5 linked regions of the Callithrix jacchus genome follow. The protein of the gene in region 1 interacts with the protein of each later gene in a biochemical or structural test. Links are inferred from orthologs where the notes say so. Each region holds a gene or a part of one and is shown on either strand. Other genes may lie near its edges. The genes, in order: PATJ, PKP4, CLDN1, TJP3 and TANC1.

The links.
Region 2: the proteins of PATJ (region 1) and PKP4 interact in a test that uses a peptide from one of them, tested with the Homo sapiens proteins (2 studies listed by IntAct, with this or other methods). The link is inferred for Callithrix jacchus from reciprocal best matches to the Homo sapiens genes PATJ and PKP4.
Region 3: the proteins of PATJ (region 1) and CLDN1 form a complex in vitro, tested with the Homo sapiens proteins (2 studies listed by BioGRID and IntAct, with this or other methods). The link is inferred for Callithrix jacchus from reciprocal best matches to the Homo sapiens genes PATJ and CLDN1.
Region 4: the proteins of PATJ (region 1) and TJP3 form a complex in vitro, tested with the Homo sapiens proteins (2 studies listed by BioGRID and IntAct, with this or other methods). The link is inferred for Callithrix jacchus from reciprocal best matches to the Homo sapiens genes PATJ and TJP3.
Region 5: the proteins of PATJ (region 1) and TANC1 interact in a test that uses a peptide from one of them, tested with the Homo sapiens proteins (2 studies listed by IntAct, with this or other methods). The link is inferred for Callithrix jacchus from reciprocal best matches to the Homo sapiens genes PATJ and TANC1.

The regions. Positions count from the first base shown.
Region 1 is NC_133508.1:98,823,899-98,827,911, forward strand, and holds the start of PATJ (inaD-like protein), read left to right. Parts: upstream 1-1,206; 5' UTR 1,207-1,282; intron 1,283-4,013.
Region 2 is NC_133507.1:71,436,688-71,440,784, reverse strand, and holds the start of PKP4 (plakophilin-4), read left to right. Parts: upstream 1-1,291; 5' UTR 1,292-1,612; intron 1,613-2,091; exon of another isoform or gene 2,092-2,228; intron 2,229-2,282; exon of another isoform or gene 2,283-2,691; intron 2,692-4,097. Other genes in the region: CCDC148 (coiled-coil domain-containing protein 148), read right to left, coding at 808-822, 1,107-1,137. UniProt on the Homo sapiens protein: Plays a role as a regulator of Rho activity during cytokinesis. May play a role in junctional plaques.
Region 3 is NC_133516.1:19,268,502-19,272,691, reverse strand, and holds the start of CLDN1 (claudin-1), read left to right. Parts: upstream 1-1,385; 5' UTR 1,386-1,624; coding exon 1,625-1,847; intron 1,848-4,190.
Region 4 is NC_133523.1:3,510,181-3,513,691, forward strand, and holds part of TJP3 (tight junction protein ZO-3), read left to right. Parts: intron 1-513; coding exon 514-622; intron 623-861; coding exon 862-1,099; intron 1,100-1,582; coding exon 1,583-1,794; intron 1,795-3,511. UniProt on the Homo sapiens protein: TJP1, TJP2, and TJP3 are closely related scaffolding proteins that link tight junction (TJ) transmembrane proteins such as claudins, junctional adhesion molecules, and occludin to the actin cytoskeleton.
Region 5 is NC_133507.1:70,955,620-70,959,569, forward strand, and holds the start of TANC1 (protein TANC1), read right to left. Parts: upstream 2,810-3,950; 5' UTR 2,647-2,809; intron 2,262-2,646; exon of another isoform or gene 2,041-2,261; intron 1,841-2,040; exon of another isoform or gene 1,444-1,840; intron 1-1,443. UniProt on the Homo sapiens protein: May be a scaffold component in the postsynaptic density.

The sequences.
Region 1 (4,013 bases):
TCGATCTCTTGATCTCGTGATCCACCCGCCTCGGCCTCCCAAAGTGCTGGGATTACAGGCTTGAGCCACCGTGCCCAGCTCCCAAGTGTATGATTTTAAGTCTTTATGTTGCAGTTGTTTTGTACCTATTCCTCATCTTCCTGGGAACAGGGATGCCATTTTACACATCTTCCCAGAGTCAACCACAGTGTTTAACTATTACTGTATGTACTCTATAAGATACCTGAAGATTGATTCTCTTTATTGTTAATATGTGGACTGTATTAGAAACCCCTATCATCAAAAGTCTAAAGTTGGCCAGGCTTGGTGGCTCAGGCCTGTAATGCAAGCACTTTGGAGGCCAAGGCGGGAGAGTCACCTGAGGTCGGAGTTCAAGACCAGCCTGACCAATACGGTGAAAACCCGTCTTTAAAAAAAAAAAAAATTAAAAAAAAAGTCTAAAGTTATTAAAGGGAGTAGAAGAATACCATCGGGGCATATTTTTCTCGAAGCTGTGACATCACAAATAAAAAAAATTAATGTATAGTGAAATCGTCACTGTAGTTAAAGTCAAAATGCCTTGCCTGTGTTCCAAACTTTGGCCCAACCTACCTGGTGCACGGTTTCCTCATCAGTTTCTTCAGAGAGTAAATGAGATAATAAGGTATAATCTAGCAGCCAGCACAGGGCAGGCAAATACTGCTGGATGTGTTTCTTTCTTCCACTAAAGGAGAAGAAAATAATGCTCCCACATTTACACGTTTTAGAATATTTTATTTTGTGTCAGCGGATATAGAAAACAAAGGAGGGATGAGGGAACAGGAAAGAGCAAAAAGGCAAGTGCTAAGCAGATTGACCCAACGCTTTCATCGATATACTCCTCAATTTCCTTGATCTTGGGTCTCGCTTTCCAAGCATGCCTCCAACCACACCGGTCGGTCCGGATTTCCCTTCCTGTCAGTGCCAGCTGCCCCTACCACGCGGGGTCTCATCCGCCCACCTGGCCCCCATAGCCCACTCTTCTCAGGCCCTTGGCCATCCCGCGCCGGGTCGGAATTCACCTGCACTAAACAGCTAGGGCAACCGCCCTCCCGGCTGCAGCCTGCCTCCCGCGGCCCCCGGCTCCCTCGCCCGCCCCCCGCGCCACCCCGGCGCCCCGCCCCGGGCGGGGAGAGTCGGGGCGAGGGGAGGGCCTGCCAGGTGAGGCGCGGTCACCCTGGGCCTCTCACTTCCGCCCAGGTGAGGTACGGCCGACACCGAGCCGGCTGGGTCGGGGCTCCCACCTGCTCCTCCGGCACACCAGGTAAAGCGTGGGGTCCCGGCTGTGCGGTGCGCGCTTGTCCCTGGGGATCCCCGCGCCTAGAGGCCAGCGGGGGCCAGCTTCCTAGTGGGCTTCCCCGGCCTGCCTGCCCTGCCCCCGCGCGCTCTCCGCCCGCCCGCTGGAGCGGGTGGGAGCCGGAGGGGGAGGGCGCCGCTGGGCGCTCGGAGGTCCCTCGGAGGGGATGGGGCGTTCGCAGCGTGCGTCCGCACTGGCCCGGGAGGCGGGGCGGGGGTGCCTTCCTCCTGCGTCGGGCCCGGGTGACCCCAGTCCTGCCGCGCTGGGCTCGCTGAGGCCGCGGGTAGGGGCCCCGCCGCGCCGCCCCGCCCGCCCCGCCTCCCCAGGCCTTTCGGGCCTCGAATCTCGGCCCACTGGTGTTCGGGGGTGGCGCGGATCCGATTTTGCGCCCAGATCGGTGCCTGTGTTTCGCTCCCAGAGCTGGGCGGAGTCTTTCCCTCCATTGGTGGCCGTGGAAGGAAGGAACGGGGGTGAGGGGACAAAGAGGAGGGGGTGCTCAGAGCCGGGCTGAGGGGGCGACTTGGGCCGGGCCTTGGAGGTTCCCCAAAGCCAGTGCTCAAGCCCTGGGCTCTGCCAGCCCTGCTACGTAGATGGGGAGGTTGTGTTGGAAAGTGCTTCCGGCCTTAGGGGAATTCTTGGATTCCTGCTTTTAAATCAAGCTCAGGAAAGCATTTTCAGATGACTCCCAACCTCCAAATCGCCCCATCCATCCCGTACACCGGCCAAATTAAGTGAACAAACACCCTTCACCTGGCACTTTGTCATATTTCCAGGTGGCTCTTGTCACTTTGGATTCGAGTTTGTTGTTTGTTGGCTCGCCTCTGCCATTTGGAGGGTGCCCCCTTCTGGGCCTTATTTCTCGACTGCATTTAGGGTCTCGCTATTGGTAAGTGCTCGACAAGTGTTTCTTAAGTGAATGAAGAAGCCTTTGGAAACCCAGAAGGACTATGTCCGTTCCACTGAGGATGATACTACCACATTTTGGGCTGAGTTCCTAGTGGCTGCCAATTAATTTGCACACATCTATCTGAAAGGAGTGGGGGTGGGGTCAGCAGTTAAAAACGTAAATCTTCACGCCTGGAATCCCAACACTTTGGAAGGCTGAGGCTGGTGGATCACCTGAGGTCAAGAGTTCCAGAGTAGCCTGGCCACTATGGTGATACCCTGTCTCTACTAAAAGTACAAAAATTAGCTGGGCGTGTTGGTGGGCGCCCGTAATCTCAGCTACTCGGCAGGCTGAGGCAGGAGGCTGAGGTTGTGGTGAGCTGAGATTGCTCCATTACACTCCAGTCTGGGCGACCAGAGAGAAACTCCATCTCAAAAAACAGCAACAGGCCCTGTGCGGTGGCTCAAGCCTGTAATTCCAGCACTTTGGAAGTCAGAGGCGGGCAGATCACAAGGTCAGGATATCGAGAACATCTTGGCCAACACAAACCCTGTCTCTACTAAAAATACAAAAATTAGCTGGGCGTGGTGCGTATCTGTAGTCCCAGCTACTCTGGAGGCTGATGCAGGAGAATCGCTGAACCCTGGAGGCGGAGGTTGCAGTGAGCCAAGATCCCGCCACTGCCCTCCAGCCTGGGCAGCAAGAACAAACAAAACAAACTTAACTCTGTTTGCAGCATTAGAAAAATGTTAGGTGAGATTGAGCCTTTTAGCTAAAGTGAGCTTTGATTTTTTTAGGGTCCCGAATGGCCTTTAAGATGTTAACAAACAACAACAGAACACTCCAAATATGTTGAATTTATTTGTGAATGAGAAATGAGAATTATAGCCTGAGATGCACAACCATTTATTGGTTTTAGAGACTCAAAGCCATAGTTGACCATTGGTGAAGATGCCATTACTGGGCAGGTGTTATGGAGAGTGTCTTAACAGTTCTGGTGCCCTGCCTCATGCCTGTTATCTCAGCTACTTAGGAGGCTTAGGCAGGAGGATCCCTTGAGACCAAGAGTTGGAGACCAGCCTGTGCAACATGGCTGCCTTGACAGAAAACACTTTTTCAATGGCCAGGTATGTCAGGAGGTTGAGGCAGGAGGATTGCTTGAGCCCAGGAGATGGAGGCTGCAGTGAGCTGTGGTTGTACCACCACACTCCAGCCTGGGTGACAGAGCAAGAACCCTGTCTCAAAAAAAAAAAAAAAAAGAAAAGAAAAGAAAAGAAAAAGATTATCTTATCTTATCTGAATTACTGCATTCCTAAAGAAAGAATTTCTTGTGGAGTTATTTTAAAGTTCTTGAGAGATCTTTATCTCAGACATGCAAGCATGAGCCTTATCCCTCACTTTCTCCGTCTCTAGTTTGTTTGGGTGTGACAAAAAGTGATTTTGTCCTGGTGTCTGTAACTTTCACAAAGATAATAAGAAAGTTAATAAATATGGAAGTGGAAGATACTTATGGACAGAACTTATAAAATGAGTTCTGAAGAGATTTGCCCTTACTAGTCCAGATCCTATTAGGGGTAAGAAGAAAAGAAAACTTTTTCCTCTGCTCTCACGCCATCACAATCAACACTGAAGACTTCTGTGATCAAATAAATGTGTGGGCCAATCAGTTCTGCATCGAACAATAGCTGAGCATCTTCCAGTTCGATTCTGACACTATCTACCTGGGGATAGTGTCAGATCCCATTAAGACTGGTCCCACTTCTGATGCCAGTCACAAGTCCTAGATTGTTTTACCCTGGCTTCTGACTAACT
Region 2 (4,097 bases), on another chromosome or scaffold:
GTCCCTCCAATGTGAGGTGCAGTAATATGTACATAGTCTCCTTACTAAAAAGATTAGTTGAAAAATAGTAAAATGACCAAAAAAAGGAACATAAGAATATCGGTGGTTATAGGCTAGAGCAATATCATATTTTAAAGCCTAATATGTTCATGAAATTTCACTTTAAGAAGGTGGTATCTAAATATAAAATTTATTGACAAAAAATTAGTATTGACAAACTAGCACAAGATTATTTTAAATGAAAGTAGAAGACATTATTAAAGCTCAAGATTTTTGTGTGTACTGATTTTCATGCCTCAGGTGATTTCTATATCAAATTTAAAGAGAACTGGAAAATAGAAAACAAAATCCATCAACTGTAATCCATTTCTCTTACTCTTTCGTGAAATCATCAGAAGGCATAAAGGATTGTTTCTGTTTCCTGTCTCTTTATCAAGCCTGTAACCCCTCAAGTGAAAGAACATGCACCTGTCAAGCTCGTAGTGCAGGATGTACACACAGATGTGTTTAATAGATATCTGCCCACGGGAAGATTAGAGGTTTGCTTTGAGAATCAGGGAACAGGCTATCTTATGTGGTGACGCTTTGGCATCTATCATACAATCCGTCACCTTCTCCCTTACCAAAATATCATCAAAGGAAATCCTCTTTGAGTCTTCTTTGAGAAGGGATATGAGTTTGAAGACCCAAAACGTTGAAACAAGACAGGAAAGGGGGAGTGGTTGCGGAGAACAAGCCCAAGTAGGATTCAAGTGGCTCAGTGACGTCAGGAGGAAGGAGCGATGGAAGGGATGGGGTGCAACTCACCTAGAGAAGCAGCAGCTGCACAAACGTCAAAGGTCAGAGCCTAGCCTCAGGGGCTCCCCAAACGCAGGAAAAGTGAAACGCCCACTCCTGGCTCTCACTGTCAGGGGTACGTCTAAGGGCTCAGCTGTTCCTACCTTTGATGCCAGGGACAAACCCTTCCAGGCACAGTTGGGGCTGGCAGGAAGGCAAAGTGAAACCTGCCCCAGATTTCAGAGCCAGCACTGGGGAATCTCCCTGTCCTCCTCTCCGCCACCCCCTCCCGCGCCCGCGACTTGAGACACCCTCATCCTCACACCCACCTTCTCCAGGCCCTCTCGCGCTGAACAGCATCGGTCTCTATGGCGACCTGAAACCGCAGCTCCTATTGGTCCGTTCAATATGAGGGCCGGGCCAATGGGGAGGACCAGCCCTCTCCTTCTGGCCAATGGGGTAGCGGAAGCAGGCCCGGGGACGGCGGCGTGCTGACGTTCCCGGGAGCCCGGGTCTGGCCGGGCGGGCTGGCGGCGGGGCGGGCGGCGGTGGCGGCGGCCTCTGGGCAGTAGAGGGGGCTCCGGGACTGAGTCCGCGTCGACGCCGGCCGCGGAGGCGGCACCATGGGCAAAGGGTAGAGGGGCAAGTTGGCCACCGCCGCCGCCGGGGGTGGTGGGATAGCCGCTCCGGGGGAGGGGGCGGGTGGGGGAGGGAGGGGCGGGCAGCCGCGCGGCCGCGGCACTTTTTTAATTTTTTTCGGGTGCCGCAGCGGCGACCCCTCGGCGCCGATGTCTGTGATTCCTGGAGCGACGACGGCCGCTGCCTAAGCTGGAAAGTAAGTGTGTGGGCTCGCGGGAGGGCGCGGAGACCCCTGCCGTTGAGACCCTCGGCCCTGCCGAACATGCGCCGGGGCCGGGACCTGCGCGCCGGAGGCCGGCGCCTCCCTCCCGCTGCCCCGTCCCCAGCGCCTCGGCGGCTTTCCTGCCCCGCCTCGTGTTCCTGCCCGCACTCGCCTGCTGCTCCCCTCCCCCCGGCAGGCACACAAGTTTCACCCTCCATTTGCTTTTTCCGGCGATTCCTCTCCTCGATCTCCCTTACGAGCCGCGCAGGACCCCTCTCCACGCTGGGCTCTACGGATTTGGAGCCCCCAGCCCCGAACTTGAGCTCCGCGCGGAGCCCTGCTGGACGCCCTCGCGGCGGCTTCCCCGCTGCCGCCCGCCCGGCGTGCCGCCCTGCGCCCCCGACACCCCGGGGCGCCCGCCCTCCCCAGCCCTCGAGACCAGCGGTCTGTCCTTCCAGCCCCAGATCCTGTACCTTGGCCCCTTTCCCGCCTTTCCACGCCCATGCTGCCGGCGCGCTCTTGCGTTTGCCCCCGAAGTCCTGCACTCCTAGTCGGTCCTGCCCACCCCCTCTGCCCAGTGCGTCCCTCTCTGCTGGCCGCCGATTTTCACGCTCCACCCCTCTCGGATCCCCAGCCCCTAGCCTCGCCGCTGCCCTCCTGCGCCGCCTCTTCCTCCTCTCCCTGCCAGGAGTTGAAGCGGAGCCGGGGCACCCCCCTGGTGGATTGGTATCCCCGCCCGCCTCCGAGGCAGCCGGCCCTCTCCCCTGGACCGCTACCCGGAGAGCGAGCGGCGGGGCCGGGATTTGGCTGCGTATTGGCTGAGTGCGACAAACCGCGAGCGCAGGCAGTGGAGGCGCCGCGGCGGCTGTGGCCGCTCGGGGCGCAGCGGTAGTCAGGTGTGTGTGTACAGCGGGGGACGCGCGCTGCCGGCTCCTGGGCTGGCGACAGATTGTGCAGGAATGCGAGGAATGCACCAGGGGCTGAGTCCACACGGCCCTCCGCGGCTACACTAGCGCCTTTCCTCCCCAGCTCTCGCCGCGCAGCCAGAGGTCACCGGAGCATCTTCAGAGCTGGTGAGCCTCATTCCACTCTTCTCCTCCCATTGCTTCCCTCCTTGCGGCAGAGAGGGTGGCGGAGGGAAAGCACGGTAGTTCTTTTGGGCTCCAGCTAGCCTTTCGTCTGGGTTTTTGCTGCATTGGTCTTCAGGACCGTGAATTTGGGGCCGATGACTGTGTAGCCAAGGTTATTGATCATTGCACAGCCTGTTTGCAAGTTTGGTGTGCAAGGATTAGATAGTGCCTGGTTTTTACTAGGGTTTTCTGAAAACCAGCAGGAATAGGGGGCCTGAAGGTTCTTGAGAGTAATGAGCTTGCAGCCAACATATTTTAGCTATACCAGAAAATGACTGTGCTAATGGATGGCCATGTACTGCAAGAAAGATCTTGAATGCATCACTTCGGTGTCCTAAGAAGTGTAATTTTTTTTCCTTGTCATACTGGGCTGTTTAGACCTCGTATAATACATAATGAATAGAAACAGAGAAGCAGTGTTTGGTCAGCGATGGGACAGATAGAACTGTCTGGTACAGTTAAATTCGGGGTGTGTCAGTTACCATTGAAAGTAACACGGGAACACCACAATCATGTGTATTTCAAGATGTAATTTATGAGTGGAGGTTTTAGTTCTCTTTGTTACTGAGTTTGACTAAAAGAAATGCTGCCCTACAACTTTTAAAGAATAGTAATTATTTACGTGTAAAATCGATGATGGTTAGTATGCATTTTGGTCAAATTTTGTTTTTCTCAATACAGGAAAGGAAATTTTTGACAGAAAATGGTTCGCTAGAATTGAGCTTAGATTCTTTTTATTTTAAAAGAGAAAGTAGAAGAATGCTTCCCTTCTTGAATGCAGTATATTGCTGTAGGAGTATCTTCGTTTTGATGTCTGTGAAACAGTTATGGAAAATGGCAACATGAGAATGAGAACAACTAATGTCTGAAATAAGTGTTTCTGGGTGTTGAAAAGCATCCTATGTGTGTTTTTATTTGATACAATTTGCTTTGGAGGTTGCATTTATGATAAATCTCTTTGCACCTGGTTATTTTGTAGCAGTTTCGGTAAAATAAGTCAGTTGTATGACCAATCAGCTGTCTTCCAACACCTACTTTGTCTAGATCAAGGACATTGAAAAGTATTAAATAGGAGCCTTTAGTTAAGGACTCAACAGAAAGGAAAAAATAGAAAAAAAAAAAATACTTTGCACTCTGAAAGGTTTATCTTTTGATTGCTACGTTGTTTTTCAGCTATGTGCATAATCAGTGAATCTTCTAATTAGAGGTTTAATTTGTGTCCACTAGCATGTGGAGGATATTGGGAGGTGTTTGTAAATGCCAACAGGAAACTTTTATTATGTAACAATATCATATTACAGCAGAGTTTAACCCATGCTTAACCTGTGCTTATTTGACTTGATGTCAAG
Region 3 (4,190 bases), on another chromosome or scaffold:
GCTCCTGTCTTACATTCTTCATTGCTTGTCCCCAAATCCTAGTATGGCCAAGTTCTTTAGCTATAAGCTGTCCCAAAAGGCATCCAGAGAGCGCCAGGTGGAAATGACAGGAGGGCTTGGCCTTGCCTCCCATTCCCATCTTGAGCATTCGCGCTTTTCCTTCTCTGTCACTAACTAGCAGCTGCCCATGGTATACAAGGGTGGATCTTTTTTTCTCCTTCATATGTTTATCTCTGCCTCTAAGGATCTTCTGCTTTTACTAAAACCACAGAAGCTTCCCCTCCCACCACACTCGCACCACACACAAAAAGCAGTTGGAAAAACATTTCAATTATTCCCAACCACAGCAGCACTTCTGACTAACTGCAAAGAAGGAAGCTTTAGAGACCCTAGAGGAAAACAAACATCCCAGAGAGACCAAAAAGGGAGGGGTGGCATACCCAGTTGCAGTGAAAGCCAGAACTTCCTAAAAGCCCGGCCCTCCTAAACTCCAGCGCAGTCTTTTCTCCACTGGGGAAGCACTGTTTACATGCCCTCACCTGTGACAAACAACATTTGGTAATTCACAAAATTAACACCTTTGAGGGAGAGCGGACCACTGGCCAAGTCCCTCTGATAATGAATTGCTGCTATAAGACATAACTGCTGTGGGGAAGAGGTTGGTGTTTGGCAGGCGAGGGCTGCTAGGCTGCATTTTCGTAAGGGCAATAATACATCAAAAGGACAATCACAGATCAAAGGGCATATTTTTGGGTCAATTTGGTATGTGGTGGAAAGCAGATTGGGAGGGGAGCCAAGTACTGATATGCTCGTGTGTGTGTGTGTGCGCGCGCGCGCGTGGATCATGTTGCTCTCTGGGTCTCAGCTTCCCAATCTGTAGAGTGTATAGATCTCTGGGGGCCGTCGGAGAGACAAGTGATGGAAAGAGCTTGACAGAAGGGGGCAGGGGAAAGGAGAAAGGGGAGGAAGCTGAGCAAAGGAGAGAGAAATGTATGTGAGATGCGGGAGGAGATGCGGAGTTGGGTAGACATGTCTTTCAATAAGATATTGGGAAAAAGTATTAAAGCTAAAACCGCAGCTCTTGAGGGCTCATTTCTTCATCGTTGTTTTTAGGATTTACAGGTACAGTGCATAGTAATTTTTGGATGATTGGAGTGAGTGAATGAAAAGCGTGAAACTCCTGACAGGAGCGAGGAGATCCACGAGAGAAAGGAGCAGCGACGCAGCTCTGGTGCCTGGTCCTGCGGGGAGGTCCCCACACCGCCCGCAGCGCGTTCCCCCCGCCCCCTCCCGGTGAGCCGCCCCGAAACCGCCAGGGGGCGCTCCCCGGCTGCAGGGCTGAGGCGGGCGGAGCTGATTTAAATCGCGGCGCCCAGCGGTTTGGCGTCTCAGTTCCTGAGCTCGGGAGCAACCGCAGCTTCTAGTACCCAGACTCCAGCGCCGCCCCGGACCCGGACCCCGACCCGGACCCAGAGCTTCTCCAGCGGCTGCGCAGCGAGCTGGACTCCCCGCCTTAACTTCCTCCGCGGGGCCGGGTCACCTTCGGGAGTTCGCGTTGCGCACCTGCAAACTCTCCGCCTTCTGCACCTGCCACCCCGAGCCAGCGCGGGCGCCCGAGCGAGTCATGGCCAACGCGGGGCTGCAGCTGCTAGGCTTCATTCTCGCCTTCCTGGGATGGATCGGCGCCATCGTCAGCACTGCCCTGCCCCAGTGGAGGATTTACTCCTATGCCGGAGACAACATCGTGACCGCCCAGGCCATGTACGAGGGGCTGTGGATGTCCTGCGTGTCGCAGAGTACCGGGCAGATCCAGTGCAAAGTCTTTGACTCCTTGCTGAATCTGAACAGTGAGTGCACCCCCACCTCACAGCCGCCGTCCAGAGGCCCCAGTCCCCCTGCCGTTCCCTTATGGGCTCATTCTGTCGTGTGATTACATGGTTATCAGTCTGGAGTTGATCAAGTCTTCTGATGACGTGCTCTGTCATAAGCAAATGCGAATCCTGGTTTGAGACAAGGGATGCCCAGGCATAAGCTCTAGTGTTGCCTCTAACTCCCTAGGTGGCACTTTTCTGCCACACTAGGTGTGGCTTCATCTGAAATTCCTATGCTGGTGGGTCGAGATTGAGAGAGTGAAGGCCAGACTTGAACTTGAGCTCTTAGGCCTCTCCTAGACATGCTCCTGGTAACTACTCAGGTGTGCAAGCTTAAAAATCCTCAAGTATTAGATCGATTTTTTAATCTTTACTATGATTTTTCATAGCAAAAGTTACATCCCTACTTGAAATATCCTATCTAAGTGTCTGCTACTCATACTTCAGGTTGATTCTTTCCATTTTTAAGATTCAGTTAGTGCAGCGAGGCCTCTTGCAAGACTCCTTGGAGAAGCCACTTGAGTTTCCCACAAAGTTTTAACTTTTAGACCCAACGTCTTCAGTAGAGTCTGATTGTGTAGTGCTATCTTGGAATGAAAAGGTTGGTGGCAGGTGGCAGAAGCCAGACAAGAAAGGTTCGAAATAACCTGCCCAACATAATACAAAGGGGAAAGTAAAGACACTGAAGGGAAATGCAGCAAAATAGTCACAGCTGATGAAATGAGAGGTCAGCTGGGAGCAGGAGGCAGTGAGAAAGAAAGAAGAGGTGCGTCTTTCAGGTTTCCATCTTCCACAAAGGAATTTCTGTGCCATGGATGTTCAGTGACCCCTTGTCAAGTTGGAAAGGACTGTATAGAGAGACATATTTCTAAGCATGGTGGAAGAAGGATAATAGGATCTTTGTTTTTACATATGTTTTTTAAATTAAAGGTTTTGAGTGTATTGTCAGAAAAATCGTTAAATACCCATTTACTTAGGTAATAATGATTCACTGCTGGAGTATCTTCCTTGAGAAATCACATTAATTGTCTTATATCATATGTTTGTTATTCCCTTCAACTAACTTGAAGAAAAGGTCCCTCAGTCTTTGCCTAGATAAACATGACTGCCCACTGGCCCCCATGGAGTGCTAAGGGTAAGAAGTGTTGCCATTGTTCAAGTTTACTTAACTTGTTTTGTTCACCTCCTATCAAAGAACAACTTTTAATAGGGTATGTCAAAAGCTGTATAGTTTAGTTATTAAGCCTGTTCCAAATCTGTTTAAACACCTTGAGTACCTGTGGCATTTGCTCAATGTGCATGGTCGTTTTGAGTGTTATTTCAGCTTTTGAAGGTTTCCATATTAGGACTTCTTTAAACCAAAACCAATCTATAATTTTGGTAATTATGTGTTGCTTATTGCCCTCATAGGTTGTATTTGTATTTATAAAGTGAAAAATTTGGCAATAATTATTGAATTTCTCCATGGAAAGATAAGTATATTTAAGGAAATGGTGTCGGGCATTTTAGGTACCACATGAAGGAATTGGAGGCTGGAGAAGTTTCTAAGAACAATTCCAGAGAGGTCTCACTCTCAGTTTCATTGCTCTGGTCAAAATAGTCCATTTTTGACATCTTAAAATAGGTTTTCCTTTAACTTCCTTAAATAAACAAATGAAATCAGATTGATCCATGTTGTAAGTATTCAAATGGATCATCCTTACATGATAATGTGTTAAAACATTTTGCTTTCATTTTTTGGATAATATAGTTATTAAAGTTTTTAAAACTGTGGTGAAAGGACTAAATATCTATCCCCCCACACACACAATTTAGAGATGTCTTCCTTTTTTTTTTTTTAAATTCCAGATCAGAATCCACTTTTGTTTTACTGAAAGCCATAATTTATCCAAGGTGTGGCTTAGGCTTTTCTCTCAAAACCAATTCTCGGAAGAGAGACCCTTGACTCACAGGTTCTCTCTCCTAACCTGCCATGACTCACTGGATGCTTTTGGATGGAGCCCAGGAAACTTTTCTCCATTCCTCTGCCTGAGCAGTGGTGTTCACGCCCACTAGCTGTAGAGATCTAGGGTGGTGATTCATTGGCTGCTTTTGGTATAGTTTTGTTACATCTAGAGAGGAAAAGGGTTATGTGTGCATATTTAAGCTGTATCCCTCATAAAAAAGCTGCATTTCCTTGAGTGTCTTTAGGTGAAAAGCTTAGCTGTTGGTTTCCTGGAATTGTACCTTGCTGTCTTTCCCAGTAGAGCACACTTGATGTCTTAGAGTACAGATGCAGGGTTTTATCAAGGCTTTAGCACTGGAAGTATTAAAATATCT
Region 4 (3,511 bases), on another chromosome or scaffold:
TGACGCTGAGAGCAGGTGGCTGTGTCTGTATATGGCTGTCCCTGTTGTGACACTGAGAGGTGGCTGCATCCCTATATTGTCCCTGTCATGACCTGATGGCAGGCATCTGTCACCCACCTTGTCCCTATGTATTTCCCTGTCACGACCCTGTGACTATGTCTGAACTCTTTCGAGCACTTCACACAATCTCCACCGAGCCGCATGCCATGACACCTGTTCCCATATTTTGATATCAACAACCTACAAAGACTTGATTACCAGAGGCCAGCGCAGTGCCTGTGCCCCCGTTTCTAGGTCAAAACCCCCTGTATCTTTATAATGCCACCAGCTGTGTCACATGTCACACAGCCACAGGGTGATGCCCCCATCAGAAAACCCTCCCGGAACTTCCGGGGCCCATGGCAGCTCTGGAAGCAGCCGGGGCTGGGTTTTGCCCAGAGGAAGGTCTAGGCTCTCATGCACAGCCAGGAGGTACCGGAGCCTCAGCGTACAGCTGTCCCTGCTTCCCGGCAGGTGAATGACGTGCCGTTCCAGAACCTGACCCGGGAGGAGGCGGTGCAGTTCCTGCTGGCGCTGCCACCAGGCGAGGAGATGGAGCTGCTGACACAGCGGAAGCAGGACAGTGAGTGCGCGTGGATGCGCGTGTGCCTGTGTGCTGGGGCAGCCCTGGCTGTGTGGCCTGATGGTGAGCGGAGTGCGATCAAAGCTGCATCTCTGCACCGTCCATCCCTCTCCTGACCACTGCAGGGAGAGTGTCCCAAGTCTCCCCAGGGCAGGGTCCCTCCCTCCAGGCCTACTGTGCGGGGAGGGCTATGAGCAGGCAGCAGCCAGACAGCTCACGTGGCCGCCTCCTCTCCCCAGTCTTCTGGAAAATGGTGCAGTCCCGCGTGGGCGACTCCTTCTACATCCGCACGCACTTTGAGCTGGAGCCCAGCCCGCCGTCCGGCCTGGGCTTCACCCGTGGTGACGTCTTCCACGTGCTGGACACACTGTACCCGGGCCCCGGGCAGAGCCACGCGCGAGGAGGCCACTGGCTGGCGGTGCGCATGGGTCGTGACCTGCGGGAGCAAGAGCGGGGCATCATTCCCAACCAGAGCAGGTGGGGACCTTCCCGCCTCTGCCTCAGCCTCCCCGTTAGAAACGGGCACGCTGGCCCTGCTGAGCAGTGTGGCTGGCTCACTCTGAGGACATCCACAAAAGGCACGGGGTGGGACCCAGTTGGTTGATGCTGGTATGAGCTTCCTGTTCTGCTGTAACAGAAGCCCAGAAACAAGGGCCGGGCACAGCAGCTCACGCCTGTAATCCCAGCTTCTCGGGAGGCTGAGGCAGGAGAATCACTTGAACCCAGGAGGCGGAGGTTGCGGTGAGCTGAGATTGTGCCACTGCACTCCAGCCTGGGTAACAGAGCAAGACTTTGTCTCAAAAAAACCAAAATAAATAATAATAAAATAATAATCTCATCTGCGAAGTCCCTTTTGCCATATGAAGTAGCCAGTCCACAGGTTCCCGGGGGGATGAGGACGTCTTTGGGGCCATCGTGCTGCTGACCCCAGTGCCCAGCACTGTCCCCTCTTCTCCACAGGGCGGAGCAGCTGGCCAGCCTGGAAGCTGCCCAGAGGGCCGTGGGAGCCGGGCCCGGTTCCTCCGCGGGCTCCAATGCTCGGGCCGAGTTCTGGCGGCTGCGGGGCCTCCGTCGAGGGGCCAAGAAGACCACTCAGCGGAGCCGCGAGGACCTCTCAGCCCTGACCCGCCAGGGCCACTACCCGCCCTATGAACGAGTGGTACTTCGAGAAGGTGGGGCCCGGGCGGGAGGGGGCCCTGGGAAGGTTCCACGCAGAGGCAGTGGCGCACCTGTTCACCAGCATCCGGCCTCTAAAAGGCAGTCTTGTAGAGTGGAGGCTCACGCCTATAATCCTAACACTTTGGGAGGCTGAGGAAGGAGGATCACTGAGACCAGGAGTTCCAGAGTAGCCTGGGCCCTAAAGCAAGACTGCATCTCTCCATCACATTTATAAAGACAGCTGGGCGTGGTGGGGCCTCCCTGCAGTCCCAGCTATCCCGGCCGCTCAGGAGGCTGAGGCAGGAAGATCGCCTGAGCCAGGAGGGTGAGGCTACAGTGAGCTGTGACTGCGTGACTACATTCCAGCCTGGGCCACAGATTGACAAAGAAAAGAAAGAGAAGGACAGAAAGAGAGACAGACAGAGAGAGAAAGAAAAGAAGGGAGGGAGAGAGGGAAGGAGGGAGGGAAGGAAGGAGAAAAGGAAGGAAAGAAAAGAAAGAAGGAAAAAGAAAGGAAGAGAAAGAGAAGGAATTTCTAACCACTCTCCTTCTATCAAAACTACTACTCTGGGGCCAGGCACAGTGGCTCACACTTGAAATCTCAACGGTTTGGGAGGCCGAGGTGGGCGGATCTCCTGAGGTCAGGAGTGTGAGACCAGCCTGGCCCCCATGGTGAAACCCCATCTCTGCTAAAAATACAAAAAATGAGCTAGTGGCCGGTGCCTGTCATCCCAGCTACTCAGGAGGCTGAGGCAGAAGAATCAGTTAAACCCAGGAGGCGGAGGTTGCGGTGAGCTGAGATCGTGCCATTGCACTCCAGCCTGGGCAACAAGAGCAAAACTCCACGTCAAACAAACAAACAAACAAACAAAAAAAGCAGAAAACTTTTGGGTTATTTTAGGGGACAGAAGGAGACAGGAAGGGGTTTCACTCCTTAAAAATCTACTTGTGGGCCGGGCATGGTGGCTCAAGCCTGTAATCCCAGCACTTTGGGAGGCCGAGGCGGGTGGATCACGAGGTCAAGAGATCGAGACCATCCTGGGCAACATGGTGAAACCCCGTCTCTACTAAAAATACAAAAAATTAGCTGGGCACGGTGGCACGTGCCTGTATTTCCAGCTACTCAGGAGGCTGAGGCAGGAGAATTGCCTGAACCCAGGAGGCGGAGGTTGCGGTTAGCCGAGATCGCGCCATTGCACTCCAGCCTGGGCAACAAGAGTGAAACTCCATCTCAAAAAAAAAAAAATAAATTTGTCTCCACAGAAATAAGATTCAAGGCACGTATATAGCCTTTAGAAAGGAAAAAGCAATAGCGGTAACAGTCTTTTAATAATTTACCTTCTTTGGCTGGTCGTGGTGGCTGATGCCTGCAATCCCAGCGCTTTGGGAGGAGGAGGCGGGCGGATCACCTGAGGTCAGGAGTTCGAGACCAGCCTGGCCATCATGGTGAAACCCCGTCTCTACTAAAAATACAAAAAAATTAGCCGTGTGTGGTGGCGCGTGCCTGTAGTCCCAGCTACTCAGGAGGCTGAGGCAGGAGAATTGCTTGAACCCAGGACGGGGAGGTTGCAGTGAGCCGAGTCTGCGCCACTGCACTCCAGCCCGGGTGACAGAGCGAGGCGAGACTCCATCTGGAAAGAAAACATCCACAACAGCAACGGAAAAGCAACCCAGGTGCAGCAGATTTTCAAAATAAAGCCACAGAAGCGGGGTGGGAGCAGCAAGCTGCCT
Region 5 (3,950 bases), on another chromosome or scaffold:
TTCCTGTAACAGAAGTTAAACTATCATAAAGATAAAATTAAAGCCATTTATTTTTCTAGGAGACTCTTGACCCAACTGAGACAAAATGTTTACAATTGGGTTAAAAATGTCTAATGGGAACATTGACATAAAGTTAACCTCCAGCTATGCTGGCAGGAGTCATTATAATATGGATTATCATTCAATTGGCCAAGGGATGCTGGTTTTAATGTTCCCAGAGAGATAAAGGATTAATCAGCAACTCAGAAGAGAATGTTGCCTAAAAATGGACAATTTAATTCAGACAGCTTCATTGTCTCTAAAATTATGCCCTCAATCACCCAGAGTCAAAAACTACTATGGCCCCAAATAAATTCTGTGTGGTTAAAGAGACAAAATGTTCTTTTTTCTACAGACTGTTATGAGAAGCAGAAAAAAGCTGACTATGAATCAGTTATGTCTTAGATCAAGGATGGGTATAAATTATGATAATTTGGGCATTCTGGTGGTTAAACCAAGAAAGCAGGAAAACCATTGCTTCCAAGTTCTAGCAACGCTTCAAACCAAAGGCTTGGTGCCAAAAAGTTAAGTTTGGGGCACCAAAGTGCAAGACAGGGTCAAAAAAAGGCACCTTAAATTTATTTGTGGACTTTTCCTGCCTCCACTAAAATCGATGACACTATTTCCCATCTCCTATTGTCAAATCACAACAGTCCGGAAGCCTGGACCAAGTTCACTTGACAGGTAACAGGAACACCCCTAGGAGGAAGTCCTGAAGGATATCAGATATCATACTTCCTTTACTGCCATTTACTTTTCATTTCAGAACCACCAGGATATATTTATGATCCTTTTTGACTGATACACACCAAGCATTCCGGCTGATATAAACTGCAGAAACTGGCATACTCTAGGGAAGGTCCCTTGTGAGGTCTTTAAGAAGCTTAGATAAGTAAAACATTCAGACTACTTCTACAATGAACACCTCTCAGCCGCTCATAAATTCTTTCATTCCCAGCAATCAAGAAGCAGCTGTTAAAATCCTGGAATCTTCCTAGCAGCAGATACGAAATACCTCCAGGCTGACCCGAGAAGCTTCACAACTGCTTTCTTCTCCTTCCCCTCCCCTGCCCCAGGAGTGCCAGCCTGGCAGGAATAAAGATGACCCAGGAAGGAAAAAAAGAGAGTAGCGGATCTGGTGAAAGCAGAGACGCAGACTCCCTTCATTTCCACTACAGAGAAATATCAACTCTCTGTGCCAACTAACCAGGTTTCTTCTTTACTCTCGCACCCCCACCCCTCCAAACACGCGTTAACTTCTGCAGTCTGGTACGTCTGGCATTTCCAGGGAAAACGATCTCAGCACTCCTGAGCCCTTTCCTCAAGATTCTGAACCAGGAACTTCCTTTCCGCGCCAGCCAGAGTTTGAGGTCCAACCCACGTCAAGACTCAGCTTCCATTTACCGTGTAATCTGTACGGACAACGCCGATTCTGGGGTCAAGTTCAAGATGAAGGTGCCCTCCTCATCTCCCACGTTAACTCCAGCAGGGAACAATGCCACTGAGAACGGTCCCAACACTAGAGGCACCGGGATCTGGGGCTGCCAGGAGCGGGCCGGAGGGGGCTGGGAGAAGGCTGTCGCCGAGCCCGGCGTCCTCCGCCCCTTGGCCGCATCGCCGGGTTTCTACCTGGCCAACGCCACATTTCCTCCCAGAGCTTTACACAATAAGTCCACTAAGTTTTAAGAACGCCGGTCCAGGGACCTTTCTGTCTGCAAACACGCCACACAATGCTTACAGCTTCCTTCCCAGCCAGCGTTCCGGAAAGCCGCCGCGCCGAAGCCTGGAGCCGAGCGCACACAGCGCCGCGCGCCCGCACCCTAAAGTCCTCCAGGAAGCGAGCGCCCCGATATCGTCCCCCTAAAATGACCACTCTGCATCCAAGAACAAGCGGGCTCATAATCTTGACCATTCTCGCTTTCCTCAGCGCCCCATCCCCAAAGAAAACCCTCAATGTCTAATCCTAACTCACCCCCACCCCCAATAAAGGAGTGTGGATACCGTCATCTCAGTGTTCCTGGAAGCAAAGCAGCAGATTTTCAGCCCTGACTGGGGCAATACGATGCCCCCGGCTTAAGTTCTCTCGGCAACTTCGCGACTGGCGCACCCCAACACTCCGAGGAGCGCCCAGGACCCTGCGGTGCCCAGCGCACCTCCCCTCCCGCCTCCCCCCGCACCAGGTACCAGGCATAGACCAGGCCCTTGCCAAGCCCAAAGGCTACAGAGAAGGCGGGAAAGGGGGTGAGCAGGCGCGCCGAGCGGGGGTGGTACCAAAACTCGAGCGTGCCCCGAGCGTTCCCTGCTCCCCCTACCCCGGTTCCACTGGAGGCCGGCTCGGTCCGGCGCAAGGGGGAGGGGGGGACCGCGCAGGGAAGGTGAGGACTCTCCAGAGACCAAGGCCCGGGGCGCCCAACATGTCTGTGCCTATCCCCGGAAAGCTCCCGGGTGTGCCCGGCGGAGGAGGGGGCGCTCCAGAAACTTTCCCACACGCCTTTCCTTCTCCCATCACCCTCTCCTCCGCGGTACCCTCTTCTCTCCTCACCCACGCAGCTGGCCCTGCCCGGGGCGTTCGGAAGCCCGCCGCGGCGCGCGGACGGCGGTAGTTACCTGCCGGGAAAGTTTCCAGCTCCTTGGCGCGCTTCCCCACTCCCAGGGCCGGGCCTCGGGGCGCGGTCAGCTCGGCGTTCCGCGGCTGCCTCTCCTCTGGCTACCGAGGCGCCCGCCGCTCCCGCAGCTGCCACAGCAAAGCCTGTGCTCCGGCCCGTCCCCCAGCCTCGCTCGGCCCACACCGGGGCCTCATTGGCAGCGCGAATCTCCGCCCTTGCGCGTGTTCCCGAAGGCACCTTCCTCTCGCGCGCCCGCCCCGGCCGCGCCTCCCGCGCCCCTCCCCGCCCCGGCCTGCGGCGGTTCCAAGGAGCCGCTGGGGAGCGGCGCGCGAACTTTCCGCGGGTCTCCGGCGTTGGGCCCCCTTGTTCCGCCTCTCAGCACTTCGTCCCGGCCGGAGGCTCCCTACCGTCCCTCGGGGCAGCGGGTCCCCCGGGGCTGAGCCTGGACCCCTCCGGGACCGTAATGAGATGGGCAATAGTCTTTTTTACCGCTTCTTCAAAATCAGTAAAGCGACCCAGCCTTGCCTCCTCGCTGCTTTTTTACCACAGCGGAGGAGGACGTATGGGAGCAATTAACCGAGTTGGGAGTTTCCTTGGACGCTTTAGGGTGGCTTGTGCTGCTTTCTTGGATTTTCTCTGCCTCACTTAACTAAACACAAACACACTTTCTGGGGCCAGAATGAGCTAAATGAGCTGGAAGGTCTAAGAAGGCATCTCTCTGGCTGCGTCTTTTTCTTTCCCGAAGGCTAATGGGGGGGCGTTCTGGAACCGGTAATTTCCCCGGCGTCTCTGGGGCCCGGGGTCTGGAGCTTCCTGCGACCGCTCTGGGCTGACCCGTGCGGTCTGCGCTCCATCCACAGAGGGCCAGCGTCATGCTTCTGTCGGAAGGAGGTGGGAGGGACGGAGGGGAGAGAACACACAAAGATGCTATTATTTTGTCGGTTGGTGGCAGTAAATTAAACTCCTGAGTTCCCCAAATGTTTTGTTATTCTCCAGCGGAGCAAAAACCAGGATAGATCCCAGGGATTCGAGTGTCCTGGGTTCTCCAGGATTCTCCCAGGAATCCCAGGCAGCTAAATTGGCCTAGAGGACTCAGCCCACTTCATACCCGAAGCTCTCTCAGCCACCCTTCGTTGATCTAGTTGATCAAGGAAGGATAAACTAGAACTATCGCTGCCTTGTGTGGCCAGCGGGAATTGTGCACGGGTCGCCCCACAGGTGTGTTGGAGCAGAGAACAGAGAAGTTGCTATAAACTGATTTATTGGCAACCCCTAACCTTGCTGTGGCAAACCCGCCTTTAAATA